Linked DNA regions of Struthio camelus. The protein of the gene in region 2 purifies or fractionates together with the protein of the main gene of each other region. This does not show direct contact. Links are inferred from orthologs where the notes say so. Each region holds a gene or a part of one and is shown on either strand. Other genes may lie near its edges.

What was found.
Region 1: the proteins of RPS6KA1 (region 2) and CDC37 purify together in Homo sapiens (affinity purification with mass spectrometry; 4 studies listed by BioGRID and IntAct, with this or other methods). This does not show direct contact. The link is inferred for Struthio camelus from reciprocal best matches to the Homo sapiens genes RPS6KA1 and CDC37.
Region 3: the proteins of RPS6KA1 (region 2) and HSP90AB1 purify together in Homo sapiens (affinity purification with mass spectrometry; 3 studies listed by BioGRID and IntAct, with this or other methods). This does not show direct contact. The link is inferred for Struthio camelus from reciprocal best matches to the Homo sapiens genes RPS6KA1 and HSP90AB1.
Region 4: the proteins of RPS6KA1 (region 2) and CSNK2B purify together in Homo sapiens (affinity purification with mass spectrometry; 4 studies listed by BioGRID and IntAct, with this or other methods). This does not show direct contact. The link is inferred for Struthio camelus from reciprocal best matches to the Homo sapiens genes RPS6KA1 and CSNK2B.

The regions. Positions count from the first base shown.
Region 1 is NC_090972.1:4,865,985-4,873,726, reverse strand, and holds the start of CDC37 (hsp90 co-chaperone Cdc37), read right to left. Parts: upstream 3,018-7,742; 5' UTR 2,971-3,017; coding exon 2,785-2,970; intron 61-2,784; coding exon 1-60. UniProt on the Homo sapiens protein: Co-chaperone that binds to numerous kinases and promotes their interaction with the Hsp90 complex, resulting in stabilization and promotion of their activity. Inhibits HSP90AA1 ATPase activity.
Region 2 is NC_090964.1:7,012,181-7,019,280, forward strand, and holds the start of RPS6KA1 (ribosomal protein S6 kinase alpha-1), read right to left. Parts: upstream 3,015-7,100; 5' UTR 2,921-3,014; coding exon 2,858-2,920; intron 1-2,857. UniProt on the Homo sapiens protein: Serine/threonine-protein kinase that acts downstream of ERK (MAPK1/ERK2 and MAPK3/ERK1) signaling and mediates mitogenic and stress-induced activation of the transcription factors CREB1, ETV1/ER81 and NR4A1/NUR77, regulates translation through RPS6 and EIF4B phosphorylation, and mediates cellular proliferation, survival, and differentiation by modulating mTOR signaling and repressing pro-apoptotic function of BAD and DAPK1.
Region 3 is NC_090944.1:104,477,879-104,485,065, reverse strand, and holds the start of HSP90AB1 (heat shock protein HSP 90-beta), read right to left. Parts: upstream 3,012-7,187; 5' UTR 2,684-3,011; intron 2,593-2,683; coding exon 2,446-2,592; intron 2,269-2,445; coding exon 2,062-2,268; intron 1,744-2,061; coding exon 1,584-1,743; intron 1,403-1,583; coding exon 1,269-1,402; intron 799-1,268; coding exon 484-798; intron 44-483; coding exon 1-43. Other genes in the region: SLC29A1 (equilibrative nucleoside transporter 1), read right to left, coding at 5,825-5,936, 6,592-6,791. UniProt on the Homo sapiens protein: Molecular chaperone that promotes the maturation, structural maintenance and proper regulation of specific target proteins involved for instance in cell cycle control and signal transduction. Undergoes a functional cycle linked to its ATPase activity.
Region 4 is NC_090977.1:8,393-15,212, forward strand, and holds CSNK2B (casein kinase II subunit beta), read right to left. Parts: upstream 3,017-6,820; 5' UTR 2,921-3,016; intron 2,445-2,920; exon of another isoform or gene 2,353-2,444; intron 2,293-2,352; exon of another isoform or gene 2,051-2,292; intron 1,970-2,050; exon of another isoform or gene 1,852-1,969; 5' UTR 1,841-1,851; coding exon 1,769-1,840; intron 1,675-1,768; coding exon 1,572-1,674; intron 1,129-1,571; coding exon 1,013-1,128; intron 938-1,012; coding exon 862-937; intron 728-861; coding exon 538-727; intron 448-537; coding exon 357-447; 3' UTR 139-356; downstream 1-138. Other genes in the region: GPANK1 (G patch domain and ankyrin repeat-containing protein 1), read left to right, coding at 4,126-4,739, 4,817-5,264; NFKBIL1 (NF-kappa-B inhibitor-like protein 1), read left to right, coding at 6,125-6,152, 6,256-6,492, 6,718-6,820. UniProt on the Homo sapiens protein: Regulatory subunit of casein kinase II/CK2.

The DNA.
Region 1 (7,742 bases), on a different chromosome or scaffold from region 2:
GCACCCCTTATCCAGCTCCTCTTTTTCCTTCTGGAACTGCTCCATCCTCTCCACTCGAGCCTGCAAGCAACAATTTACACTTTTAAGACCCTCAAGAGAAAAACAAATAGATAGTCTGGAAGACTGCAGTCACGAAGCAGCAACATCAGCCTCTCCAGTGCATCCAGAGCCCACAGGACTTTGAATCATCCCTACAACGGCCAACAGGAGCTCGCGACCGGAGCTCAGAGTGGGCAGCTGGCTCTGGCTATTCAGGCCTGCACTGTGCAGTGCTTCCTGGGGAAGGGTGGGGGGCTCTTCTACCTCCTCTGGAGCAGGCAAGAATTGAAACCACTTCAAGACAACAGCGGGATATTTCTGTTTAGCGTTCACTATCTTCCACACCCCATTAGCTGACTTGGGTTCTTTAGCCACGCTTCTCCCGTGACACTGACACACGCACAGAGCCTCCCTACGCTGTTAGGTAACGGCTCGCTGCAGTGTAGGAGACGCGTGCTCCAGGAAGCCTGACATGCTTTCCCAGATCGCTGTTATTCTTTGTGGAACACAGCGAAGAACAAGAAGTCACATACCCTCCCCCAGAAGCAGCTACATTAGGAGCACAAGGTGAGAACAGACGCATCTTTCCTCAAAAAGATCTCTTTCAAGAAAGATCAAGAGGCAGAAGAGCTGCGTTCTCTCCATGCACAGCTCCACAGGACGAACCTGGAGCAGACGCTGCACCACAACATATTCCAAATGCAACATCAAGCCTACGCTCACCTGCCTCAAACAAGCCCTCCAAGCTAAGCACTAGCATTTTGTTTGAACTGGAAGCGGGGGCAATTTAATTTGCACGCCAGCTTCATTTTTCTTCACTGTCCAATTTTTAACCACCCTTCCCTTCCTCCCACAGCCTGTGCTGCTAACCCCCAAATATCATATTACTTGGAGAAAAGGATTGTGAGTCCCTAAGGATTTCTTCTGCTCAGACTAGGCAGCGCAGGTCTGCGCACCTCCTCCACACAAGGCCGGGACCCTTCCTGCCTTCCTATCCAGGGCCCTCACAGGAAGCGGGAAGAACTGCCTTTCACTGTTATTCCTCTGCTTGTTTGAGGTGAGGACGCCTTTAGCGGAGGAAGCCAGCCGGGAGCACACGAACTCACTGCATTCATTCTTTACCTGCAAAGAAACTTGTAGTTTCCTCTCCTCACATTTGGGGGAGGGGGAACCCACAGAAGCAGCGCACACATGCGCTTAGCCAGTATCCCATGAATCTGCCTCTCTCAGTCACTGCCTCCTCCTGCAGGTTTATTACCCTTCATGGGCAGGGGAATCGCAGCAGAAAGAAACAGCTTGCTAGAAGCACAGGGAGTTGCCAGAACTCGGCGCAGCCCTTCCAACCACATCCATGAAACCTACGCAACAGCGACGGGACGCGAAGCTCTGAGTCCCGAGAGCAGGCACTGGCCCCAGGTGAGGTGGGCTACCCCTGGCTTCTCCAGAGGGAAGCCGGGTTCTCCCCGGCGAGCGTCACCTGGCCTGACAAGCTAGGGTAGCACAGGGCAAGCATAAGGGGATAAATCAGTCATTTGAGGAACACAGGCAAAAGGCTGACACGCGGCACTCACAGGGCGCTTCACCGTGGCGCTGCTTTGACCCAGCAGACAAGTCACTTCCACTAATACCCAGGCCCGCTCTAGGGGCGTCAGTGGCATGGTGCCGCAGAGCCTCACAGACAGATCGCGATAGCTTCCAAGCCTCCGCACCAGTATTAGGCAGAAGAGACTACCTCGGGCTGGCTAAGCTCCTAGCACAGTGACTTGGTCAGAGGGTAGCATCTCCCCAGGCCCAGGGAAGGGACAGGGCAGGCACCAGCCTGGGGCTTCCTGGCAGCTGCCCTGGACCCCAGGGCAGGGCCTAAGGACTGCTGGCTCCCAGGGCCTTGGACAGTGTGCCCTGAGGAAGCCTCCTGGAAGGGCCCTGAGGGACAGGGGGAGCCATGGGGACAGGGGTCACAGGGAGCCAGTCCCCACAGCAATAGGAGCCATGGGGGAACCCCTGGCCCAGACACCATGGGGCCAGGTCAACATGAGGATAGGGGTCATAGGGAGCTGGACCCCAAACAGATGAGGGCCATGGGCTCCCCCATGGCCCAGCCACCATGGGGACAGGGGCCAGCAGGAGACCCCAGCCAGGCCAACAAGGGGATGGGGGCCAGGGGGACTGGTCACCCCAGTGACAGGGAGGGGTAACAGGGGAGCCCCCAGCCCAGGCCCCATAGGAAAGGGAAGGGTCTCAGGGAACCATTACCATGGGGACAGGGGGGGGCCACAGGGGAACCCAGGACCCACAGACAAGGGGGGGTCTCAGGGAGCTGCTACCATGGGGACAGGGGGGTCACAGGGGGGCCCCCAGCCCAGGACCCACAGACAAGGGGGGAATCTCAGGGAGCTGCTACCATGGGGACGGGGGGGGGCACAGGGGAGCCCCCAGCCCAGGACCCACAGACAAGGGGGGAGTCTCAGGGAGCTGCTACCATGGGGACAGGGGGGGTCACAGGGGAGCCCCCAGCCCAGGCCCCATGGGGAAGGGAAGGGTCTCAGGGAGCTGTTACCACAGGGACGGGGGGGGTCACAGGGGAGCCCCCAGCCCAGGCCCCATAGGGGAGGCGGTCGCCATGGAAACGGGGTCACGGGGGAGCCGGTCGCCATGGAAACGGGGTCACGGGGGAGCCGCGCCCCGGCCCAGCCCGGAGTCGGGGGGGGGGGGGGGGGCGCTGCCGCCGGCCGGCCGGAGCCCGACCTGGTGCCGCCACCGGAAGAGGCTGGCGGTGTCGATGTTGGGGTGCGTCTCGTCCTCATCGTCCGACACCTCGATGTGGTCCCAGACGCTGTAGTCCACCATGGCGCGGCCGCGCTCCGGGCCCGGCTCCTCCGGCCTCTTCTGGAAACCTCCAGCGCCCGCGCCCGCCCACTTCCGCCCGCACATGCACGCACTTCCGCCCGCGCCTGCGCACTGCGCCTGCGCGCCCGCCCCGCCGCGCAGGGCAGAAGCCGGAAGCGCCGCGAGGCGGCGGCGGCGCGCATGCGCGGCAGCCTCGCCCTGCACAAAGATGGCGCGCCTCTTAAAGAGACACGCGCAGGCGACGCGGGGGTCGGGGCAGGGCCTCGCGTCGACCCCCCCTAGCCCCAGTGGGGACGGGGGGCGCTTCCCCCCCCACCAAAAAAAAAAGAGGTGATGCCAGAAGCACCTGCCTGCGGCACCCCGAGTGCCCCAGTCCATCACCCTGGGTGGTTGTCCCAGGCCCACCCGCCACCCATCCCACCCGTCATCCCGTCCTGCCCCATTGCGACCCCCTGTCACGACCCAGTATCCCATCCTGGCCACCCCAACCTGCTATCTGGGATGGCTGTTGTGGCCACCCCAACCCTGCATCCCGACCCACCAACCCAACCCACCACCCCGATTCTCCATCCCAACCCTCCATCCTGACCCACCAACCTGACCCACCATCCCGACCCACCACCCCGACCCACCACCCTGCGCCACCATCCTGATCCTCCATCCTGATCCTCCATCCCAACCCTCCACCCCAACCCTCCATCCTGACCCCCCACCTCAACACTCCATCCCCACCCACCGTGCTGACCCACCACCCCGACCCACCATCCTGGCCAGCCACCGCAGCCACCCCGACTGTCTCGCCACTGCCAGCCCCCCATCTGCCCGCCCCGAACTGCCACCCCGCTGTGCTGGGGGTGCTAGGGGTGCTGGGGGTGCCCGGTGCTGGGGAGCAGGGGGGGTCCCAGTACCGGGGGTGCATAGGAGTCCCAGGGAGGGTGCTCAGTACCGGGGGTCCCGGTATCAGGGGGTGCTCGGTTTGGGGGGTGCATGGGGGTCCCGGGGGGGTCATGCCCAGTGCCAGGGGGTCCCAGTGCCAGAGGTGCTCGGGGGTCCTGGGTGGTTGCCGGTGCCAGGGGTGCCAGAGGGGTCGCGGTGCTGGGAATCCCGGCGGGATCACAGTGCCGCGGGTCCCAGGGGGGGCTGGTACCGGGGGTGCTCAGGGGTCCCGGGGGGGCCGGTACCGGGGGTGCTCGGCGGTCCCGGGGGGGGGCCGGGGCCGGGGGTCTCGGGGATCCCGGGGGTCCTGGGGGGGCCAGTACCGGGGATGCTCGGGGATCCCGGGGGGGGCCGGGGCCGGGGGTGCCGGTACCGGAGGTGCTCGGGAGTGCGGGGGGGGCCGGGGGGCCACGGCGCGGTGCGGTACCCGCGGGGCCGGCCCCCCCGCCCCCCCCCCCGGTTCGCTCCGCCCGAGCGGCTGCGCCTGCCGGTACCGGGGCGGCGGCGGCGGCGGCGGCGGCGGGGGGGGGGGCGGGAGGCGCCGCAAACAAAGGCGGCTGGATGCGGCCGAGCCGGCGGCGGCCAGGTACCGGGGGCGGCACCGGGGGGCCGGGGGGACCGGGGGGGCCGGGGGGGCCCTCCCCTCCCTGTGCAGCCGCCGCGCTCGGGCCCGGGCATCCCCGGCGGGGAGTGGGGGGCAACGCCTCGGGGGCACCGGGCATCCCGGGGGGACCGGGAATAATGGGGGGACCGGGAATCCCGGCGGCGCTGGGCATCCTGGGGGGACCGGGCATCCCAGCGGGACCGGGAATAATGGAGGGACCAGGCATCATGGGGGCACCGGGCATCCTGGGGGGATTGGGAATCATGGAGGGACCGGGCATCCCGGCGGCACCCGCTATCCGGAAGGGATGGGGGGGTGCAGTGCCGTGGCAGGACCAGGCATCCTGGTGGCACAAGGCATCCCGGGGGGACTGGGAATCATGGGGGGATCGGGCATCCCAGAGGGACCAGAAATAATGGAGAGACCGGGCATCCCGACAGCACCGGGCATCCTGGGGGGACCGGGAATCATGGGAGGACCGAGCATCCCAGCAGCACCGGGTATCTGGAAGGGATGGGGAGGATGCAGTGCCGCGGCAGGACCAGGCATCCTGGTGGCACAGGGCATCCCGGGGGACCAGGCATCCTGGGGGCACTGGGAATCATGGAGAGACTGGGAATCATGGGGGGACTGGGCATGCTGGGGCACCAGGCATCGGGAAGGAATGGGGGGGATGCAGTGCTGCAGCAGGATCAGACATCCCAGCAGCACCGGGCATCTCAGGGGGACCGGGAATAATGGAGAGACTGGGCATCCTGGGGGACCGGGCATCTTGGGGGACCAGGTATCCGGAAGGGATGGGGGGGGTGCAGTGCCGCGGCAGGACCAGGCATCCTGGTGGCACAGGGCATCCCGGGGGGACCGGGCATCTGGGCAGGACTGGGCATCCAGAAGGGATGTGGGGGGTGCAGCGCCCCAGCAGGACCAGGCATCCCAGGGGGACCAGGAGTAATGGAGAGACCGGGCATCCCAGGGGGACCAGGCATCTCGGGGGGACCGGGAGTAATGGAGGGACCGGGCATCCCAGGGGGACCAGGCATCTCGGGGGGACCGGGAGTAATGGAGGGACCAGGCATCCCAGGGGGACTGGGCATCTTGGGGGACCGGGTATCCGGAAGGGATGGGGGGGGTGCAGTGCCACGGCAGGACCAGGCATCCTGGTGGCACAGGGCATCCCGGGGGGACCGGGCATCCCAGGGGGACCAGACATCTCGGGGGGTCCGGGAGTAACAGAGGGACCGGGCATCCCAGGGGGACCAGGCATCTCGGGGGGACCGGGAGTAACGGAGGGACCGGGCATCCCAGGGGGACCGGGCATCCCGGTGGGACAGGGCACCCCGGTGGGAGCAGGTGCCCCATGCGGGAGCCCCCTGGGACACAGCGCTCGGGGGTCCCCGCGGCCGGTCGTGCTGAGGGGCCCCGGGAGCCCCCCGGGGGCAGTGGGGCTGCGGGCAGCGAGCCCCCCGCTCCCGCCCCGCCGGGAGAGGCACCGGGCGTCCCGCGTTTCGGGAGCGTCCCGGCCCTGCGGCCGCGCTGCCGGGGCCGGCCGTGCCGCGTCCTGCCGGCCCCTTCTGCGGCTTCGCCGGCGGCGGCGGGTCGGCGAGACCGCTGCCACCCCATCACCCGTCCCGGCGCAGCCGCCCCTTTCCCCCGGAGCGCCCCGAAATCCCAGCCGGGGAGGGACGTGCGACGCCGTTCCTTCGCCCCGGCCGCCCGCCCCCGGCCGTTTCCGCTCGCGGCTTGGGCTTCGCCGCTCGGCGCGGCGTCACCGGCCCCGGCGCCAAGCGACTGCGAAGCAGTTAAATAGGCGGAAAATTCCTCCCGAAGCCGGGGCAGGCGGCGGGGGAAGCCGGGTGCGCTGACCTGGGGGCAGCCCCCTCCGTGCTGGGGGGAGCCGGAGCCCCAGCGTGGTGCTGGCCGCTGCTGCGATGAGCGTGTCGGTGCTCAGCCCTGCTCCTGCAGCCCCGGGTCCCGGCGACGGAGCGCGAGCAGCCCGGCTGGGCCCCCCCGGGGCGGCGGGGGCGGCGGGACGCAGCCCTCACCCCACCGCTCTCTCTTGCAGGCCCCTGCGCCCCCCGTGCCCCCCGCGCCGGCCCCCCTGGCCCCCGCGGCCGGAGCGCGGGCAGGACGGCCGCTGAGCCCCCGCGCCAGGCGGCTGCATGAAGAAGAGCCGGAGCACCCTGGCCGTGCCCGAGGACCAGGTGAGCGTGGCCCTGGGCCGGGGGGGCAGGGGGCCGTGGACCCCCGGCACTGCCCGGTGCCCCGCGGACACGCCGCCTCCGGGAAGGGGGAGCCGGGCAGAGCTTCTCGCGGCCGGCTTGGGGCCGGGGAGAGCGTGGAAACGCGGGTGGCTGCCCCGTGCCCGCGCGCGCGCCTGCTCGGCCAAGGGTGCGCGTGTGCATGCATGGCTGCAGGTGCGTGCGTGTGCGTGCCCGTGTGTGCGCATGCCCGTGTGTGCATGCAGGCAAGTCTGAGTGTGCAAGCGCATTGGGTACGCGTGCACGCACGGCTGAGGGTGTGCATGTGTGCACACATGTGTGTGTGTGCATGCACGGCTGAGTATGCGTGTGCGTGCATGCGCGTGTGTGCCCATGTGTGGGCAGCCATGGGTGTGTATGTGTGTGTGCCCATGCGTGCACAGCCAAGAGCACGTATGTGTGTGTACGTGTGTGCGCATGCATGCACAGCCAAGTATGCATGTGTGTGCGCAGACATGCACGGCTGAGCGTGCATGTGTGTGCGTGCATGCGTGTGTGCTTGTGCAAGCGCATGTGTGTGTGCAGCGAGGGCGCACTCATGCCTGGCTGAGCATGCAACTGTGCTTGTGTGTGCACACGTGTGCACGAACACATGCATGCACATCCGAGCGTGCACGCGTGTGCTTGGCGTGTGGACGCAGCGGGCTAGCGGGAGGGGGCGCCGCGGGGGCCAGCGGGGCTGGGAAAGCGGCTCAGTGCCGTGGCCCCGGGCGCCCCCCACCCGGGGGCAGTGGCCATGCTGGCTCCCCCCCCCCCCCCGCCCCAGCCCCAGCCCCAGCCCCGGCCCTGGCGTGGCTCCTCACTGCACCGCTCCCTGCAGCAGCACCTGCCGGGATTAATTAACCCCCTCTAATTCCTCTGGCCAGTGCAATTAGCCAGTTCGTTGGAGCCATGCCTGGGCTGCCCCGAGGGCCGGGATGCTCCGGGCTGGGTGGCGGAGGCCCGGGGCCCCGGGACCGGCCGGCTGCCGCCCGGCTGAGCCACCCCCGCCTCCTTTGCAGGAGCCGCCGGAGCCGCCGGAGCCGCCGGAGCCGCCGGAGCCCGGGCGCCGCAGCCGC
Region 2 (7,100 bases):
CTTGCCTAGTGCAATTTAGAGAAAGGAAATAATTCTGCAAAAATAAAGATTGCCAGCAGAACTGCCATAGCCCAAACGGACTGAGGAGTCAGCTGCGCTGCGCACAAGGCATATCAGAGACTAAACTCACATAGCTTCCTGCTGTATCTTCTGATCATTGTTTTATGCATCGTTCAGCTAAGATGCTTGGAAAAGATAGTTACTCGTGAATGGCTGCTGCTCAATAAAAGAGAATACATATATACCGGCAAAAATAATTAGCTCGAAGTGATTAGGTTTGTGGTAATCCCACGTCAGTTATGTTGCTGTATGTGTTACAAGACAAGAGCTTAAAGAAAAGCACAGCCTAGATGACAGTTTCCATCGCTATGGTGATGAAGTCATTCAACTCCACTCTATCGCTTGTACTCTGCCCCAGCCAGATTTTTCAACTACATAAGCAATATTCTGAATGATATAAGCAGGAGAGAGAATAAGGGGAAAAAAATATGAAACCAGCTCAGTCCCCAGGACAGAGGTGGATCCACTTTTCTCCTGCAACAGATTAGTCCTAGCTCCCGCTGCCACCCACCCCCACGCATTTTCCACGGAGCAGCTCCACGCTGAGCGCCGGCAGGCCGGGACAACAGGCGCCAGCTGGGACCAGACCCCAGGAACAGATTGCTAGCGCTCCTGAAGTGCAGTGGAAAAACCCCAAACCTGCAGACAACAGGCCCGGTGCCTTCACCAGCACAGTGACAGCACCTCTGCTCTGTGACTCAGAAAGCAAAGGTACAAGGAAGCCGGTTGAAAACCATGATGGCAGAGATCCAAGGGCAATTTACGTAACTGACATTCCAGAAGAGTCTCCACCTTGCCCAGAAGAGGTTAAAATCTTCTCCCCAGGCCTCTACCCTCAGCCATTTTTACCTCGCAAGGTGCAGAAATCCCACCGAGCCTACGTCCCTCTCTGCAGCCTGCAGATACGCTGCTACAGCTAAAGGAACATGCTAACGTCTGGCACAGGCGACGGCAGCCAGGTTTAGAGGTGAAGAACATCCATCCTGTTTCTCTCACTGGAAGCAAGAGCATGTGTTTGCTCTCCTCAAACCAGGGGAGGATAAATTGCTAACGTCCCACTCCAGGTGGAGATGCAGCCCTCCTGAGGTTTCAGGAAAGTGATTTTCAGAAATATCACATGCAAACCGCTCCCGACCGTGGAGCTGACCTAGAGCTCTAGGCAAGGTGAGATGGGGGAAGGGGATAGCCGAGAAGTGAGAGTCAGGCCCCGAAGTTTCAGTTTACAATTAACACATCGGTTACTACTCCAGTGGGGAAAATAGTTCTTGCTAACTATGATCTTCACAGCTGACTCCAGCTGACAAATATACGGGAGCTCCCCCCGAGCTGTTTCCGGTCAGAAGAGATCTCGTGATTTTGACACAGCCAGCTGACTGGCACCTGAAAGACGTAGGATTAAGCAGTAAACCGATCTTGCCAATGGCATTTATTGCCCTGGGCACTAGCATTAGTTTTCTCCCGTTATGAGTTTAGTTTTGTTATTTAGCTTTTCAAGATATCTTCCTATTTAGGAAGAGAGAAACCACCAACTTAAAGAGCCCTGTGTTCTAGCTCTAACCTACTCCGGTACCCTAGACAAGCTCCGAAGGCACGACATGGTTTCCAGGAATCACGATCCAGTCGTTGCAGGCTGAGCAACCTCCCTCCTCTCCCACTTTCGAGCACAAACACATCCTCATGACTCCAGCACTGCTTCCGAGCAGACGCGCCGAGCCCGCTGCCGGGTGCGTCCGCACCTTCAGGCCAGATGATGTGAACCCCCAGCACATGCAGCGCCTCTGGCATGGGGAAGTCTCTAGGAGAAGTCTTGCCACATCTGGTTGATGAAAATTAGGCAACCTCACCCATTTTTGTTAGCAGACCTCTATCTGTTATCATTGCAGCAGGAGTGAAACGTTGCCTCCGCTGAAGGCAAAGATGTTTTAAGAGGCAGTTTTAAATAGGAATGAGCAAATCTAACCACTCAACCATCACAACATCTCTAGGCATGAGATGAGGTAAAGGAGCAAAACCGAGAGCACTGAATACAGCCAAGAGGATGGGAGACTGCGAGGGTCCAAATACAGGGGTTGGGACAAAACCCACAACGGCCATATCATTTGTTCAGGAAAGAGGCTAGTTCTAATTTGGATTAGAAGATGCTTAACTAAAGGTTGCCGGAGCACACTGCCTCAGCTGGCTGCTTTGCAATGGGTGAAAACTCCTAAAAGCTGTGCCTTTATTCCGAAACGGTCGTGGCACAACCCTGCAGAGGCAGACAGCTGATGTGTCCTGTGCATCTGGGTTCGAGGCCGTAATTAGAAAGGAAAAAGCAAAGCATCCACCAAAGTAACAGGGGAGCATGACAGGGTGCCTGGGAGTTTGAAACACAGGCAGGCCTCTCAGGACAGCTGGTCTAGGAAGAACAGCAGCGAGGGAGCCCTGAAGAGGAAGACTCGGCACATGAAGCATCTATTCCTCGGGCCCCGGGCAGGGCCCGTGCCCCTCTACGTCTGGGAGCACGTCTGAACGGGCAGCGGCGGGCTGCCGAGCGCCGCGCCGCCCCCCCCCCCCGTTCCGCAGCCCATCACCGTGCCTGCCCGAGCCCGGCCCGCACCGCTTCCCGCCCCCCGGGATATGGGGCGTTGGGGAGGGGGGGGGGGTCGCCCGCGGCTCCCGAGCGGGGCCGGGGGGGGCCCCGGCAGCACCGGCCCGGGCGCTCCTTTGTTCACCGCGGAGCCCGGCGGGGCGGCCCGGGTCGTCCCCCCCCGCTCCGCTCGGCTGCGCCGCCCGCGGCGAGGGCCGGTGCCCCGCTCACCTCCGTGTCCAGATGCACCAGCTCCATGTTGGGCCAGGGCTCGGCCAGCTGGGCGAGCGGCATGCTGGCGGCGGGCTGCCCCGCGGCGCCGGGCCGGGTCGGGCTGGGCTCGGCGCAGCGCAGCGCGGCGCCCCGCGCTGGGCACCGGCTCCCCGGGCTGCCCGGGCCGGGCCGGCAGCGGCGGGGCGGAGCGGGCCGGGGCGGAGCGGAGCGGGGCGGCCGCGGGGGGCGGCGCGGCTCCGCCCGCAGCGCGGCTCGGCTCGGCGCGGCCCCTCCGCTGCCCCCCGGCCGGGCTCGGCCAGGGGAAAGGGCCCCCCTCGGGAGCGAGGAGGCCGAGGTGGCCACGGGCAAAGCGAGCTGCTCCCCTCCGGCAGCGAGCGAGCGAGCGGGTGTGCGTGCCGGCCGGTGGCGAATTCACCCCAGGGCCGAGCCCACCTTTGGGAGCGGCGAGGCCGGTCAGGGGAAAAAACCTTCCCCGTTAGCTCTCGTGAACGGCTGCAGGCTCTGTGCGCTTTGCGCCCTGACAAAATTTGGATGCGCCCGTTAGCCAAACGGATCTTAAAACTGCTGGTAAGCTGCTGCTCGCTCCGCATAAGGTGAGCGGGGCAGTCACTCGGTGCTCCTCTCTGCTGAGGAAATCCTCAGCAGCACCAAGAAGCAGCTGAGCAGCCAGCTCTGGGTCAGTCACTGGGTGCCCAACTCTCTTTTGTGCCTGGGAAAGATTTTTTTCCTCCAGAGCTGGAGGAGTTGTCTGCTGCTCTGCTGTACACACAGTACTACAAAACATCCCCGAAGAAGAGGGTTGTGAGGATAAACTCTGTGACAGACGATTCAGGCTGCTGCCTAAAGCAGGAAACCACCCCGGGAAATCCGGATTCTAAGTTTGTGATGCACAGTGAGTCACGGCTCATCACTGTTTGCAGCGCACCCCCCCTCTCTTTTTCCCGTTCCCAACAAAACATGGATTAAAAAAAACCATATCCACCTTTCTGAGATGTTTAGAAGCCTGCGGAGGAAAGGTGCCTTAAACACACGTGCTCACAATTCATTGCTATTCTTACTTGCTAGGCTTCTCAAATGGAGAAGTGTACTCTTCTACTCATTTTTTTAAGCCAAAAGCCAAAGCACAGCGTTTTCATGTTCATTATAAAATTATTTCTAACAGAAATTATTTTTTCAAGGGTGCATCGCTAAGCATTGACTTCATCAAGGCATAGCTGGAAGTATCACTTAATGAGTCCAAGTGAAACCGCGCTCAGCTTTGGTTTTGCATTCTGTAGGGCACCTACCCCCAAAAGCCAGTACAGCCCTTAAACCTGCAACTTCTTCAGGCTGGGCAGTGAACTCAGAAAAAGCTGAATTAGGGCAGAGAAAAACAAAGTACGTCTAAACGTTCCAGCTGATCTTCACAACACTTGAAGTTAATTTGTAAGTCATCCTCAGAACCTGCTTGTGAGTTATGTTAGTGCTGCCATCTTTTTCACATGTTGGGGGGAATTGAGTAAAAAAAATTCCCATGGGTCACAGTATAACTGTTTGAGCCAAGTCTGGGAACTGCTCTCTCCCAACCGTACACTCAGAGCCCCTCTCTGCCATAAGTTTTGGACTCCCACATGAAGGCATTAAATAACACAACCAGAACGGTACTAGCAAGGTCCTGTTACAGCCAATTAAACTCACGTCACTTACTGTGGGAGCAAGCTGAAGCAGATCTTGTGCAGAGTTATTCATTTAGCTCCAAAGCTGTCCATTTCCCCTCTTGCCTGGTGCACGGCGTGCCGCCGTCTGGTTACATCCATCCTCCAGCTGGTGCAGACTGAAACCTGCTTTAAATGGCACCAGTAACGTGATGATGTCAATACTGGCATCCCGTTTACCTTCTTCATTTGTTTGCAAAATTCATCGCCCTTTTTGGATTTCCTTCTGCTCTGCGTGTGTGTGTCAGACGGGTCTGGAATAGGAATGCACAGACAAATGAGCAAAGGATGACACTCTGCATGCTTTATAGAAGGAGAACAAAATGAAACGCTAACGTGCCCTGCCATGCTTCAGTGCTAAGCCCCTTGAAGGTGACCTGTGAACATCACATCCCAGCACACTTGGACATTCCCACCTGAATGGAAAAAACAAAGCAGAATATTTAAATCATAACAAATGACAGGCACAAAGGCCATTTCCCATCAGCTGACCCATGCAGAGCACCTCTCAGCTTCAAATAAGAGCTGTGCACAGGAGTCAGGTAAGATCAGGTGCCAAACAGTGATCTGGAGCAGCTGAGGGGGTAACCTAAGCCAAGGTGGTCATTAACTCCTGAGAAATCTCCGACCTCAAGGCCATGACTGTTATTGTAAACAGTGGAAAAAAGTTAAAAAAGGAAAGAAATTCCTTTTGAAGTGTTGAAAACTGGCAGTTACCTGGCTAGTTACAGAGTGGTACAGTAACCAGTTTCTACTGGTTAGCAAGGCTTAATTTTCAAGGTCACGGTGAAAGGTTGACAGACAATATCTGGAGGAACGGTCTGAAACACAGAAAAAGGCCTATTGGATTCAGTGAGGGAAAGGAGAAAGGAATCCACTGCTGCTTCCGCCCCCCTGGTAGGTCTATTGAGATGCAGAAAGTCCTTCATATTTCACAGCAGAAAGACAGGCCAGCTCACCGTGCGTTTGACAAAAGACAGAAATTATAGAACTTTATGGAGCAATGATTTCTTTAGGCTGGAACGAACAGAGAGCTCTACACCCACAGGTGCCATGCACCCAAACAAAAGTATCAAATTATCCTGCCTGGTTTTCATAATAAAACAGCAAATTAAAGATACTAGGGAGACTAACAATGACTTGTGCGTGTCTATGCTCTCCATTTATGAAGCTACTTTTATTAAAGGCTAGGAAAAGGTTTTGCTAAGGTAGCTCCACAGTATCCTCAAGACTGAACTAGCACCCTCACCCCCCACCTCCAGCCCCCAAGACTAGCTAACACCGTAGCGATTCAGCAGCAATGCTGGGCAGGACTCAAAGAGAAGCAGTGCTATCTAGTGCTATCTATCACCAGGCTGACCATCCTTCCTTTGATTCCTGCACTAGACAACACTGACTCACAGTTGATTAACAGAATATGAGACTTCCCGCTCCAGACCGGTGGTAAGCCCAGAGCAGTAAGTTTAGGTAAGTGGAACGAGACAGTGGTGTCCCCCCAGCGTTTATTTCCTAGTCAAAGAACAGCTATACAAAGCAGCCCCTTTGCCACAAGCTGGGTAGAAAAAAATGTTTTTTTGAGTTGAACGCCAAAGCCTGTTGTTTGGGTAACTGTTATGGCTAAAAACAGTGATTTATATATATATATATATATATATATATATATATATATATATATATATATATTTACACACACACACACTGCCGTTCTTCTGACAGGGCCGCAGGCTGGATTAAGGTTCGTAGTAGGATTCCTACGTTTCCATTTAGACCGCTGCTGCTACAGGTAAATGGAGATCTCCAGATCGGCTGGATGGCCCTTTCACCATTATTACATTTGCTGAAAATTCAAAATGCTGCAAGTTTTTTTTTTTTTCATTTTAAAAAAAAATCAAATCCCCCTCAAATACAATTGTAGATATTTTTGCCTCTGCAGTTGCCTGGCTTGTGGTGTGTAACATTTTCCTCTTCAGGAAGGTTGACAGCACTCACTAAGCCAGTTATCCCCAAAGAGCCACTTCCAAAGCGGAAGTATTGAGACTCATCCTTATCCACATTACCAAATCCAATCAGGTTTTGAAGAGGCAGAGGTTTCCTCGTTACGTTAAAAGCTGCCTAAGCGATTCTCCACCTAACCATATATAACACAGTGTTCCCATGGCTCACTGTATCCATTCTTTTCTTTTTACTGAAGCCAGGGAGCATCTTCCTTTAACTGCATGCTACACTGCTTTTACACATATAAGGAAATGCAAAAAGATTGCACGCATGAGAATTCACAAGCTGAGTCCCAAATGCCTGCTACAGTTTACAAAGACAGACTGGTGTAGTCTGCTTTGTGCACACACTACAACAGTCATTTAATTAGAGCTTATAGCAACCTTCTTTGTATTTTTAAGATCCACTAATCAGTTCCTTAGTTCATTGTTGTTCCCATTCCACTAACAGAGAAACCGAGTCACGTTTTCACTAGGTCATCAGGCTAGAACTTGAACTCCACGTCCTGTCTTCTAATCCCCAGCTCTCAATGTAAGATCTCATTTCCTTGC
Region 3 (7,187 bases), on a different chromosome or scaffold from region 2:
AGAGCAGGGCCCTGAATTCCAGCTGCCCTTCTACAGAGAAGTGCTGTGGGGCCAGGAAAGAAACACAGCTGCTGTGATGATTCCCTTCTACAGCTTCTGTCAGGACCCAGCGGCCTGCTCTGGGCAGGCTGAACTGCCATCCCACAGGGCATGCAGAGGGACACAGCAGGCTCTCCAGCATGCAAACAACCTGCATTTCCCTCTCTTCCTCCTCAGCTCCACTGTCTCCTGCTACCCTGACTGCCAGGACTGTCTGGCGTTCAGCAGCCCTAGATGACGAAGTCATGCTGCTCCAAGGCCCAACGCCCTCCCATTCTCTTTTGAGGGTAGCACTGCTCATCCTACTGCCTGCACAGAAGTCACAGGGCAGGCTGAGGCACCACCAAGTGGCCTAGGAACTCTCAGTCCTGCACTGAAGCACAAACACGAGGTGGCTTTAAACATGGAGTGGAAAGGAATCCTTTCGTCTTTTTCAGCACCCACCTTGACAGCCAGGTGGTCTTCCCAGTCATTGGTGAGACTTTTGTAGAACTCGCCATATTCCTCCTGGGTGATGTCATCAGGGTTGCGTGTCCAGATGGGCTTGGTCTTGTTCAGCTCCTCCTGGTCAATGTATTTCTCCTTAATCTTCTTGGTCTTCTTCTTCTTCCCTTTATCTCCCTCTTCCTCCTCATCAGAGCCCACATCCTCGATCTCGGGTTTCTCCTCATCCTTGGAGGCTGACTCCTCCTCCTCCTTCTCGCTTTTCTCCTCTTCTGCTTCATCATCACTAATCTCTTTCTCACGCTCTTTCTCCAGCTGCCAGGAGAGGAACAAGAGAAAGTCAGGGCCATGAGCCCAAGCTTAGCCCCAAGCAAACACTATCAGGAGTCCTTTTGCCCCAGAGAAGAGGAACACACGCACTCCTGAGCGTAGCTGAAATCAGCTCCAAGAGACCTCTCATTGCTCACAGGACTAAGGGCTGGGTCTGAGGAGATGAAGTGAGGGGCAGAAAACTCTCCTGTCTGCAAGGCTGGTTTACATGATCTCTACACGCACAGAGATCAAGGGCCAGGAGCATGACTGGATGCCCCCCACCTGCAATAGGCCCCCAGCCTCAAAACACCTCCGGCCGAATAAGGCTGGGGACACCGTCGCTCAAAACACAGCAGCCAGGAACTGGAAGGGAACGGAAGACACACTACTCTAGTTTTCTCCATCTTTCTGTTCCCAACATACGTCTCTGCTCTAGCTTTCCAGTTGGTCCCCAAAGTCCTTCCCTTACTTACATAGAGTGTAATAGGGTAGCCAATGAACTGGGAATGTTTCTTCACCACCTCTTTGACACGCCGCTCCTCTAAGTACTCTGTCTGGTCCTCTTTCAGATACAGGATCACTTTAGTGCCCCGTCCAATAGGCTCACCTACAGTGTAGAAAGAGAAACGTTAGCGCTAGAGGCATAGGGCAGCTCCTTAGGCCCAGCCACTACCAGGTACTTCACGTTAACAAACTCGAGTTTGTTAACTCAAGTCCAGCCCAGGAGAACACCACAAAGGGGGGCTTTCTGGATGACAGAGATAAACTTACCTTTGTACAATACATACCATGGTCAGTCCGAACAGTGAAGGAACCCCCGGCAGATGACTCCCAAGCATACTGCTCATCATCATTATGCTTAGTAATAACCACAACCTTCTCAGCCACCAGGTAGGCTGAGTAGAAACCCACACCAAACTGCCCAATCATGGAGATATCTGCACCTGCCTGCGGAAGCAGAAAACGACAAATAAAGAGAGAAGGACGCAAAACATGCCTGCAAGTGATTCGCAGCAGCAGAGAACTAGGTCAGCAGGCAGAGATAAAGTGGGAAGTGCCCACAGGCAGGCAGCCCTACCCTGAGCTCCTCCCTGCTACAGGAGAGGTGGGGAAACATACGTAGGCAAGCCAACAGCTCCCACAGCAAGACAGAGGCAGGGCTGGGTGCTGACTGTCGGGCATGCTTCTATTGTAAGGAGGGGGTACACCCCAGTGAAAGTCTAGGGCCCAGGCTGCAAGAAGCCAACACAGCCAAAGGCAACCCACCTGCAGGGCTTCCATGAAGGCCTTGGTACCAGATTTAGCGATAGTGCCCAAGTTGTTGATGAGATCAGCTTTTGTCATCCCAATACCAGTGTCCACCAGGGTGAGCGTGCGGTCTCGCGGGTTGGGCACAATGTCGATCTTGAGGTCCTTGCCGCTGTCCAACTTGGAGGGATCAGTCAGGCTCTCGTAACGGATCTTATCCAGCGCCTAGGAGGGGGAGAGCAGAGCGCGTGCCTTGGCCTCGGGACTTCGCGGCCACCTCCCGCGGGCCGCCCCCGGCCCGGGCACCCCGGGAGGGACACCAGCCCGCCCCAGGGCCCGGGGAAGGAGAGGAGGGAGGGCAGGGGAAGGCCCCACGGGCGGGTGGGCCGAGGCGAGGCTCACGTCGGAGGCGTTGGAGATGAGCTCCCGCAGGAAGATCTCCTTGTTGGAGTAGAAGGTGTTGATGATGAGCGACATGAGCTGGGCGATCTCCGCCTGGAAGGCGAACGTCTCCACCTCCTCCTCCCCATGCTGCACCTCCTCAGGCATCTGCAAGGCAAGCACAGGCCGCTGGCACCGGGGGCACGGGGCGCCCCGGGCCGCGGCGGGGCGGCAGCGCGGGCGGGCCCGGCGCCCTTACCGCGGGCGGCGGCCGTTCCACACGCGGCGGCAGCTGACGGACCTAGAAAAGAGCAGCCGCCCCCTCCGACCCCTTTTTATAGCGACGGCGCCGCACCGCCCGCCGGCTCCTTCCGCCTTAAAAGGGCCTGGAGAGGCGCGGCGGGTCCCTGCGGCCGGGAGGCTCCTGCCTCACGCCGCATCCCGTCCGCGATGAAGGGAGAGCGAGGTCGCTTCTCCGAAGCGCCGTGCCCCTCCGTTGGGGGCCTGCAGGGTGGGTACCACAGACACCCCCGTGCTCCCCCTCCCCCCCACTGCCAGCCGCTGGGTGGGCCCCACTGCAACGCCCTTTTAACCGCGGCGGCGGACATGACTCGGGCACCTTCGGCCCGAGCGCCGCCCCCAGCTCCGCCCCGCCCCGCTGCCGCAGCTCCGCCCCCGGGGGGGCGACTGCCTGCCTGCCGCCGTCCCGGGGGAGGGACCGGCGGCCTTCACCGCCCCGCCGCCGCCATTCTCCGCGGCCTCCGCCCCCGGCGGGGTAGCGGGAGGGACTATTTCCCGCGGGCGGCGGAGGCGCACTGACGGCGGGTGGCAGCGAGGCGGCTCCTTCCAGAGGCTTCCACGGGACGCTCCGGCTGGGCAGGGTCGGGTCGGTGCCCACCCGGGGACCTCGGCCCGGCCCGGCCTGCCGCTCTCTCGGCTTCCCCCTGAGCCCCAGCGCCGGGGGAGAAGGGCCGAGGGGGGCACGGCCGCGGCCTGCCCGTGCGGGGACGCCCTGGGTCCTTCCCTGGCCGTGCTTGGAGCTGTGAGCAGCTCCTCAGCTCGGCTGATGGCGCGTTATTGTCACAGTCATCAGGATGCCCTCAAGTGCTAGAAGGGAGATGAGCTTTTTTAATCCCCCCGTTGGTGTTTCCTCGGCAGTGCCAAGGTGCAGAGCGGGGATCTAGGCTGGGGGTTGTATAGGAATGAGCTGGGGCGGCAGCAGACACGGTGCCAGAGGCCCAGGGCAGAGCTTGTGTGCCCTGCCCCCGCCATCTTCCTGGGGGTTTACGGCCGAGCAGAACAGCATGGGGGCTTCCTGTTTTAACTTCCTCGTGTGTCAGGATCTTTGGCCATGTGTGAAACACCAGCTGCAGGCTTGAGCACCTGTCGGTAGCTGTGGGGTGGGTGGGGGAGCAGCAGGGAAAGCCAGGGAAGCGTCAGCCCTTTGGGTAGTTTACAAGGCACCTTTTTATCCATATGCTACGTTGCTGGCAGCTGTCATGCGCAGGGCTCTTCACTCGGTGCAGGGAGACAACAGCTCCCCTGAGGCCGAGAGCCAAGCGCCGAGCAGCTGGCTCCAGGCGCATCTTTGGCTGATGAACTCGTGGCTCTGCTGTCCTGACCTTTCTGAGACTGTGGGTGCAAGCCAGGAGCGGACCGGGGCAGCGCGGAGGGGGAACACGCAGGATGGAGGAGACAGGCAGCAGCGGAAGGGCTTTGCGGGAGGACCTGCTGCAGGGGTCACGTCAGGGCTGAGGGGCGCTGGTGGAGCTGGGTTCAGAGGGCGGAGCAGACCCGTTTCCTCCATCAGAAGTCAGCTTGGCAGGGAAGGTGTTTGGAAAGCAGTTTTTAGCAGCAGCTAAGGGCACACAGGATAAATCCTGTGCCTTATCCTTTCTCTTGGAGCTGCAGGCGCGTAAGTCTGAATCCCTCACGGGGCAGAGCTGGGGCGATCTCTGACCTCTGGGCACGGCTGCAAGAGAAGCCCCAGGTAGCTGCTAGCAGAAGGCGGGATGAGGGGACCTGGGCCCTACAGTTCTGGGCCTTTTGGGTCTGCGGGGAGCCGAGGCACTGCAGCAGGTGAGCCCGTGGAGCTGAGGAGGCGATGGCCGTGAGCAGCGCGTGGGGCAGGGAGGCCGTGCGTGGGGGCCGTGGCCACTGGCGAGGTGATGTAGTTCTCCCCAGGAGCAGGAGGTGGCACTCCAGCAGTTCCAGGCACAGGGAAGGCTCCTGGGTGCACGGGCTGCTGCTGGCTGCCCCCAGCACATGCAGGTGCCTCCGCCCCTTCTCAGAGGTGCCAGGGGTCTGCCCCAAGGCCAGCACCCCCTCCTCATCTCGTAGCAGTGAGGTCCTGGGGGCGGGCACACCGCTCAGCCGCCTGGTGCTGGCCACAGGGGACCCCAGGGACACCCTTTCAGCTCTGGCCCTGCTCAGCCCCAGTGGCCCTCCTCCCTGTGGTGATGGAGACAGACACACATACCCAACAGGGCATTTTGGTCTTTTTATAGAAAAAGGCAACTGTACAGATACATTTACAAGGCAGGGAAGAGACAATGGGGGAGGTCAGGCTCCCCCTGCAGCAGGGGGGGAAGCAGGGCAGCCTGGGTGGGAAGGGAGCCGCCTGCTTTCCTCTCGCACTTCATGGTGCCATCTCCTGTCACATGAATAGGAGACAGGAAACAGTGGCAGAATCATTAACCAGTTTTTGAGGGGGCTGGGAAATAAGCAGGCAGGGAACGAAGGCAAAGAGAGCGGGAAAAGGCAGGGTGTGGAGACCTCTTCCTCCCTCAGTCTAGCCATGGTGTTGGATGGCAGCTCTTCGTGTAGGACATGGATATCCATGTCTCTCGGATACTACTGTGCAGGAGGATGTGCTTGTAGCAGACAGTGGGGATGAGGAGAGCAAGGCTGGCTGGGGCTCTCCTTCCTATTTTCAAGTCTCCCCAGTAGGGGAGAAGTTGAGATGTGAGATGTTTCCAGGCCCCCTGGGAGACAAAAGGAGATCCAGTCCCCAGGTGCCTTGGGAACGCGGGCGGGAGAGGAAACAACACTGGACACCAGCCCTCACTTCTGCCTGTCAGAGAGGAGGTAGCTGAGAATGGCTTTAGGTCTTGAGCTGGGGAAGTTACGCAGCACGAGGGGATGGCTGGACCTCTGTGAGATCCCAGGGGTCTTGCAGCATGGCAAAGGCACGAGGGCCTGAAGGCATCACACAGCTGAGCATGGCAGGAGCCAGGCCAGCCCTGGAGTGGAACTGTCCCTGGCTGTAATATCTGCTTTGGCAGTGTAATTCGGCAGGGGCAGATGTGGTGTTTTCTCCCCATGGCGTTGAGGTGTCCAGGGCCTCAGAGGAGGATGCAGAGCTGTCTCTCCGTGTCTGTGCAGCCTCCAGGTACCTCTGCTAGATGAGAATTCGGAATAGGAAGGAGACAGCAGCTCCTAGGGCCAAGCCCAGCGAGAGGAAAAAGGCCATGACTGATCCAGCTGTTTCTGCTTCATGGGCAAGCACTTTCCTGTGGGAGAAACAAGTGTCAGACCCATCCTGGGGAAAGCATGCTCTGTGCCCCGCTGTGTCCTCAGTTGCAGCGACGGGACGAGACCTCACAGTAGGCAAAAGCTGCGTCCCTCGCAGCAGGGGGGTGGCAAGAGCAAAGCCTGCTCGGCTCCAAGAGCTTCCCTCTAAATTACGGGCTCATTAAAAAAAAAAAAAAAAACACACATCAGGCAGGCTGCCCTGAAGCTCCTGACGCCAAGAACACCCCTCCCTGGCTCCTGCCCTGATGCACTGCAGCCTGCTCAGCTGAGCCTCAGCAGGCCTCCTCTTGCTGCCTGTGTTCCTGTGCTGGACAAGGCTGCTCACCACATTGTGTATGCTGCTCTGCCTTTTGCTGCCTCCAAAGTCCTGTTGTGTTCAGCCTCTTCCCCAGGGTGGCACATGGGGAAAATGAGGAGCCCACACAATAGCATCCTCAGCTCTAGGATGTAACACAAGGCTGGGAGAGAGGACACTGGGGTTGTCTTCCCAGAGGGGAGGTGGTGTGGCTATCTCCCTCTGCGCTGGAGGAATCCAGGTGCCAGAGCTAGGCAGAGCCTGGACTCAAGGAGCCAGGCCTGGGCTGACATCCACAGGTGTAACCAGCTGTTCCCCTGTCCCCAGCTGTTACTCACTTGGGCCCGAAGCACATGCAAAGGCTGGCCAAGTAGCCGTTGGAGATGGAGAAGAAGATCATGAAGACGATGTACCAGGCATCATGAGAGAAGACGACAGGCAGGTAGTTGCGGGGCTGCACGTTGCACAGCATGAAAAGCGGTATAAAGATGACACGTAGGGCCACCATCGCTGGCAGGAGACAGCTGTCCTTCCCAGGCTGGGAGAAAAACACACGTCACTGAGTAGCTGAGTTCCCTGTCCCATGGCACGTCAGCAAGGGCTGCAGAAGGGCTGTACCTGCTGACTACTCTGAGGCCGAAGGGAACCACACAGAGGGCAAAGTTGCTCAGGCTTTTCCTCATGTAACAAATCTTAGCATCACCTTTGGATGTGAGGTAGAGATCAGGGCAGTTCCTGACCCATTCTCTGCAAGGCTCCCAGACTCACAGCTCCTGCCTGCCTACTTTCAGCATACACCTCTGGGTCTGCCTGTCCTGATCCTACAGCTTCCTGCATCCAGTTACACGGGCTCCCTCAGCATCACATACAGCTATGTGAGGCTTGGGGTGCTCTTCTCTCTTTCTTTTCCCCCAGCCTTCCTGGTATCTGCTAG
Region 4 (6,820 bases), on a different chromosome or scaffold from region 2:
GCTAATCCAGGCCGGGCGCGCCGGGGCCTGCAGCCACCCCTCCCTCCCTCCCGCCGCCGCCTCGGGGTCGCTCTCACGACAACAAGCAACTGGGCGGGTTTTCGCGAAGGCGGAACAAAAAACCACCTCGCTCGTGGCCCGGTTTTCTGAACTTCTTTCTTTTTGTAATTGAACTCTGAGAAAAATCAACCAAAAACAGATTAATTTAAACAGTACGTAGGACTGGGAAGGGGCCTCAGCCCTGCCCCGAGGGACCAGACCCAAAAAACGCGACGGAAAAAGAAAGGAAAAACAAGGCAGCAGCGGCCCCTTGCTGCGGGGGGAGAGGAGGGACCCAGGTGTCCGGGGCGGCGGGCTCAGCGGATGGTTTTCACGGGGCTCTTGAAGTTGCTGGCGGCCTGGAGCTGCAGCTGGTACGCCATGGGGTGGATCTTGAAACCGTACAGCCTGGAAGAAGAAAAAAAAGCATCGGGACAGCGCTGGGCTGTCAGTAGGCCCCAGAGTGAACGCTGCGGAGAAAAAGGGGCCGGGGCTCACCTGGGCACGAACTGGTTGGCGGGCCGCTTGGGCCGGTACTCGGGGTGCACCATGAAGAGCATGTGGGGGAAGCCGGTGCCGAAGTAGGCGCCGTCGGTGTGGTGGTGCCGGGAGGACTTGGGCGTGTAGACGTCCATGCACTTGGGGCAGTAGAGCTTCACCATCGCCTCCCCGGGGATGTCCGAGAGACCTGCGCGCGGCCGGCTCAGCGGGGCCCAGGCGTCCGGGCCCCTCCGCGCCTCCCACCCTCCCTTCCCCGGCACCCGCCGAGCCAGGCGTCCGGGCCCCCGCTCCAGGGCCCAGGCGTCCGGGCCCCGCCCCTACCGATGGGCAGCATGGGCTGGTTCTCGCAGTAGACGCGGGGGCAGTAGCCGAAGTCGCCCTGCTGGTACTTCTCGAGCTGGGGGGGGGAGCGAGAGGGGCGGTGAGGGGGGCGCGGGGGGGGCGCCCGGCCCCGGGGCGGCGCAGCACCCACCATCTGGGCGATGCCGCGGTTGGTGAGGATGTAGCGCGCGTGGATGAGGCCGTAGAGCATCTCGGCCGCCTGCTCGATGAGGTCGCTCTGGTTGGGGTTGTCCTCCAGCTCCTCGTCTGCGCGGGCGGGTCAGCGGGGACCCAGGCGTCCGGCCCCCCCCCCCCCCCCGCCAGCCCCCCTCGGGGGGCGCCGACCCCCCCCGAGACCCCTCAAAGGCTCCGAGCCCAACCCAGGACCGCCGAACCCCCTCGCGATCCCTTCTTGACCTCCACGGCCCCCCCAGGGCCCCCCAATGCCCCAGGAGCCCCCCTAACTCCCCTAGAACCCCGACCCCCTCGGGACCTCCCTGTGCCCCCCCACATCTCCCTGGTCCCCCCCCAGCTCCCCCCGAGATCCCCCAAGCCCCCTATGACCTCTCCAAGGACCCCCCCAGCTCCCTGCAGCTCCCCTAGGACCCACCAAGGACCCTCAACCCCCGCTCCGGGCCCTCTCAAGCCCCGTAGGGACCCTCGCAGCCCCCCCAGGGGCCCCACGGGGCCCCCCCGCAGCCCCCCAGCACCTGGCTCCAGGTCGAGGATCATGTCGAGCGCCTGGCGATAGTGCGGCACCTGCTCATTGAGCCCCGTCAGGTTGAACTTGTCCTGGATGTAGTCCTCGTCCACCTGGGGCAGGAGAGGCGGCGTGAGGACCCAGGCGTCCGGGCACCCCCCGGCCCCCCCCCAAGGGGACCCAGGCGTCCGGGCGGCCCCCGCTCACCTCGCAGAAGAACTCGTTGCCTCGGAGGCCGCAGAACCAGGAGATCCAGGAAACCTCCTCGGAGCTGCTCATGGTCCCGGAGTCTGGGGGAGGCGGGCGGTGAGGCCGGGATGACCCCCGCCAGGGGCCCAGGCGTCCGAGACCCCTTCACCGCCCCCACTCAAGGGCCCAGGCGTCCGAGACCCCTTCACCCCCCCCCCACTCAAGGGCCCAGGCATCCGAGACCTCTTCACCACCCCCACTCAAGGGCCCAGGCGTCCCGGGGCCCTTCACCCCCCCCACTCAAGGGCCCAGGCGTCCGAGACCCCTTCACCACCCCCCCCACTCAAGGGCCCAGGCGTCCCGGGGCCCTTCACCACCCCCCCACTCAAGGGCCCAGGCGTCCGAGACCCCTTCACCCCCCCCCACTCAAGGGCCCAGGTGTCCGGGGGCCCCTTCACCCCCCCCCATTCAAGGGCCCAGGTGTCCGGGGCCCGGCCCTCCCTCACTTAGGGGCTCCCCTTCACCCCAGCCCCCCAGGACCCAGACGTCCGGGCCCCCCTCGGCCCCGCCCCCCCGGGGGCCCAGGCGTCCGGGCCCCTCACCGCGGCTCTCAGGGGGCGAACAAGGGGCCGCGCAGCGCCAACCCTCCCCGCAGCAAGGCCGCCCTGCGCCGCGCCGTCCCGCGCATGCGCCGCCGCGGGGGCCGCCGGGAACTGGAGTCCGCGCCGCCGCGGGAGCCGCCTCCCCCCCCTCCGCCGGCCAATCGCGAGCCGCCTCCCGCCTACAGCTCCCGGCGGCCCCCGCGCGGAAGGGAGTGGGGTGGGAGGGCGCCCCCACCACGTGACGCGGCGGAGGGAGTGCGGCTGCGCGACCCGCGGCCGGGGCCGGTCACGTGGGGCGGCGCGAGGTACGGCGGGAGTTGTAGTCCCGCGGCACCGCCTCCTCCATAGGGGTGAATGGCGCGGGGGGGGCTGAGAACTACAACCGCGAGGGGGCCGTTATACCCCCCCCGGCTCCGCGAGAGGAGGCGGGGCCTGCGCTAGAGTGGGCGTGGCTTATCCCACTACCGGGGAAAGGGGTGTTTCTGCGGGGGAGCGGCCTTAACCCCCCCGAGGGGGGGGGTCCCTCGTTACCATGGCCACGGGGCGGGGGGCGGGGCCTCGCACTCACCGCCCCGCGCTGCCGTCGTTGCAGCCCAGCGCGGCCCCGGCGGCGCCGCGCGGGGGCTTCTGGGGGACGCGACAACGGCCGCCGGGCGGCGCGCGCATGCGCGGGGGGGTGGCGGTCCGCCAGTGGCCGACGCGCATGCGCGCGCTCCCTCCGCCTCGCCCGCCGTAGCGGTGCGCCTGCGCGCCCCCCCTCCCCCGCGGCTGCGCCTGCGCGCCGGAGCGCGGCGCCCTGGCGCTCTGCTCCGCCGTCTCTATGGTGAGTTGGGGGGCTGGAGGGGTGCGGCCTGCCCGCGGGGACCTGCCCCACCGCTGCCGCCTCGGGATCACCCCCCCAGGGCCGGGGCCTGCCCCACCGACCCCCTCCCCCCGGGTCTGGGCCTGCCCCACCGACCCCCTCCCCCCGGGTCTGGGCCTGCCCCACCGACCCCCCCCCCGGGTCTGGGCCTGCCCCACCGACCCCCCCCGGGGTCTGGACCTGCCCCACCGACCCCCCCCCAAGTCTGGACCTGCCCCACCGACCCCCCCCCGGGGTCTGGACCTGCCCCACCGACCCCCCTCCCAAGTCTGGACCTGCCCCACCGACCCCCCCCCCGGGTCTGGGCCTGCCCCACCGACCCCCCCCGGGGTCTGGACCTGCCCCACCGACCCCCCCCCAAGTCTGGACCTGCCCCACCGACCCCCCCCCGGGTCTGGACCTGCCCCACCGACCCCCCCCGGGGTCTGGACCTGCCCCACCGACCCCCCCCCAAGTCTGGACCTGCCCCACCGACCCCCCCCCGGGTCTGGACCTGCCCCACCGACCCCCCCCCGGGTCTGGACCTGCCCCACCGACCCCCCCCCAAGTCTGGACCTGCCCCACCGACCCCCCCCCGGGGTCTGGACCTGCCCCACCGACCCCCCTCCCAAGTCTGGACCTGCCCCACCGACCCCCCCCCCCGGGTCTGGACCTGCCCCACCGACCCCCCCCCCAAGTCTGGACCTGCCCCACCGACCCCCTCCAGGGCTCTTCCCCCCTCCCCAGGATCTGCCCCACATCCCTAGGCCTGAACCTTCCTTGGGCACCTGCCCCCCCCCCCCAGCCCCAACCCTCCTTCTCTAGGGCTGTTCCCCTGCCAGGGCCCTGCCCCACATCCCCCCCTTCCCCCACTGCCGCCCTGACCCGGCCTCTCCCCCCACCTCAGCCCTGAGCCGCCGCCGGGCGCCGCCATGGCCCAGCTCATCGCCTTCACCCGGGCCCGGGACGAGACCGACTGCTGGAAGGACGGACACCTCCAGCGGCGCCCGGCCGCCCCCGCCGAGCCCGGCAGCCAGGCCGGCGACGAGGCCCGGCGCTTCTACGAGAGCCTCCTGGCCGGGGAGGACGGGGCCGGCCCCGCCGCGCCGCCTGTGCCCCCCGCCGCGCCGCCTGCGACCCCCTCCGAGCCGCCTGTGCCGCCCGCCGAGCCGCCCCCGGCCCCCTCCGAGCCGCCCCGGGCCCGCCGCAAGCCCCCCGCGGCCCCGTCGGGCCCCACCGACACTCGCCGGGGCAACGCGCTGCTGAAGGCGGCTCAGGACGGCGACCTGGGCACCCTGCGGCGGCTGCTGGAGAAGGAGGGCTGCGACGTCAACTACCGGGACGGCTTCGCCTGGACGGCGCTGATGTGCGCGGCCCGCGCGGGGCGAGCGGCCGCCGTGCGCTACCTGCTGCGCCGCGGGGCCGCCCGAACGGGTTTCCGCGAGGCCGGGGGCCGCGACGCCGCCGGGCTGGCCGAGGACGCTGGCCACCGCGGGCTGGCGCGGCTGCTGCGCGAGTGGCGGCCGGAGCCCGAGGAGGCGCCGCGGTGAGTCGGTGCCCGGGCGGCGGCGGGGCGCAGCGGGCGCCCGCGGCCCTGCCTGACGCCTCCTCTCCCCGCCGCAGGCCGGCCCCGGCGGAGCGGCGCTTCTGCGGCGTCTGCGGGACGCACTACGCCGAGGAGAGCGCGGCGCAGCACGAGCGCTCCACCGCCCACCTCCTCAGCCGGGGCGACCCCCCGCCGCCCGCCCGCTACCACATCCCCGAGACCAACGTCGGCTTCCGGCTCCTCGTCAAGGGCGGCTGGGACGGCCGCGCCGGGCTGGGCCCCGCCGGCGACGGGCGCCGCTTCCCCGTCCAGACCCTGCTCAAGCGCGACCACAGAGGCCTGGGCTGCCCCAGCGACCTCCGGCCCCGCGTCACCCACTTCGAGGCCCGCGACGCCGCCGCCGTGGCCGAGCCGCCGAAGCCGAGGGCCGAGCGGGCCGGGGCGGCGGGGAAGCGCCAGGCCCAGCGCCGGGAGGCCGCCGCCCGGGCCTGGGAGCGCGACCTCCGCGCCTACATGGGCCGCTGAGCGCCGGCGGCCCCGGCCGCCGGGGCTCGCCCCAGCCCCCCTCGCGCTGGCGGCAAAATCGGGGCGGAAACCCAGCTTTCGCGTGCTGGGCGACGCGGTTGGCGCTGCCCAGGACTCTGGAGCCGCTCGCTGCGGTGCCGCCGGTGAGTCCGACCTGCCGGGGCGCGGCGTAACCCCACGGACCCCGTTCCTGCCCTTGACCCCCATTCGCGTCACTGATCCCTGCTGACCGCTTTGGTCCCCATTGATCCCGCGCGAGTCTTTCGTCCCCGTTCGCACCCTCGATCTGCTTCTGCCCCTATTCAGCGCTTTGGTCCCCATCGATCCCCATTCACGCTGTCGGTCCCTATCGACCCCCATTCATGCTGTCGGTCCCCGTCGATCCCCGTTCATGTCGTTGATTGCTGTTTGCTCCGTTGGTTTCTACTGATTCCCATTCACAGCATCAATCCCCACCGATCCCCATTCACGTCGTTGATCCCCGTTGATTCCCCTTCAGCTCATTGATCCCCATTCGCCCCATTGATTCCCACTGATTCCCCTTCCCCCATTGATCCCCATTTGCCCCATTGATCCCCACTGATTCCCCTTCACCTCATTGATCCCCCTTCGCCCCATTGATCCCCACTGATTCCCCTTCCCCCATTGATCCCTATTCGTGCCGTGCAGCCTCGTTCACCCCGGTGATCCCCACTGGTGCCCTCATTGGTCCCCTCGTTGCCCCCTTTGGGCCCCGTTGGCCCCTGTCACCCCCGCGCGGGTCCCTCCACGCCGCCCCCCCCCCCCGCCAGCGCCGCCGCTTCCGCCCTCCCCTGTCGCCACTTCCGCCCCCTGCGGGGCCGCTTCCGCCCGGGGCCGCCATGGGCTCCCACCGGCGGCGGCACCGCGGTGAGCCCCTCCCCTCCCCCCCGGAGGGCCCAGGCATCCGGGGCCCCTCCCCCCGGGCCCTGGGGACCCAGGCGTCCGGGTGACCTTTCCCCTTTGTCCCCAGGCGACCAGGAGCCCCCCGCGCCCCCGCGGTGCCGCTGCCCGGAGCCGGAGGTGCCGGGGGGCAGGACAAGGCGGGGGGTCGGGGGGTGGGGGAGCCCCACGGCTGCCCCACGGCTGCCCCACGGCTGCTCCGGCCGCCCCCAGGCCGCCCCGGAGCCCCCCAGCCCGGACGGCGGCTGGCGCCAGCGGCTGCTGCAGGAGTGGGAGGACGAGTGCGGCGAGCCCCAGTGCTACCGAGGTACGGCTGCCCCACGGCGGGCCCGCACGCAGCCCCACGCCCTGCCCCTCGGCAGCCCCGTGGCAACCCCGCGCGCTCCCTCAGCCGGGAAGCCGCCATCTCCGTTCTCGCCGCCCCAAGGAGCTCCCCTTGCCTGCAGCGGGGCTGCCGGGGGGTGCTCCCTGCCCCACAGAGCCCCGCGCCGTGGGGCTGCCTGCCTCAGCCCTCCCCTCTCCCCCCGCGCAGAGGACTTCGCCGCGCCGGAGCCGGAGCCCTACGATGCCTGGGCCGACCGCATCGCGGAGGAGCACCGCCGCAAGCGGAGCCGCCAGGGCAGCCTCGATGCCGC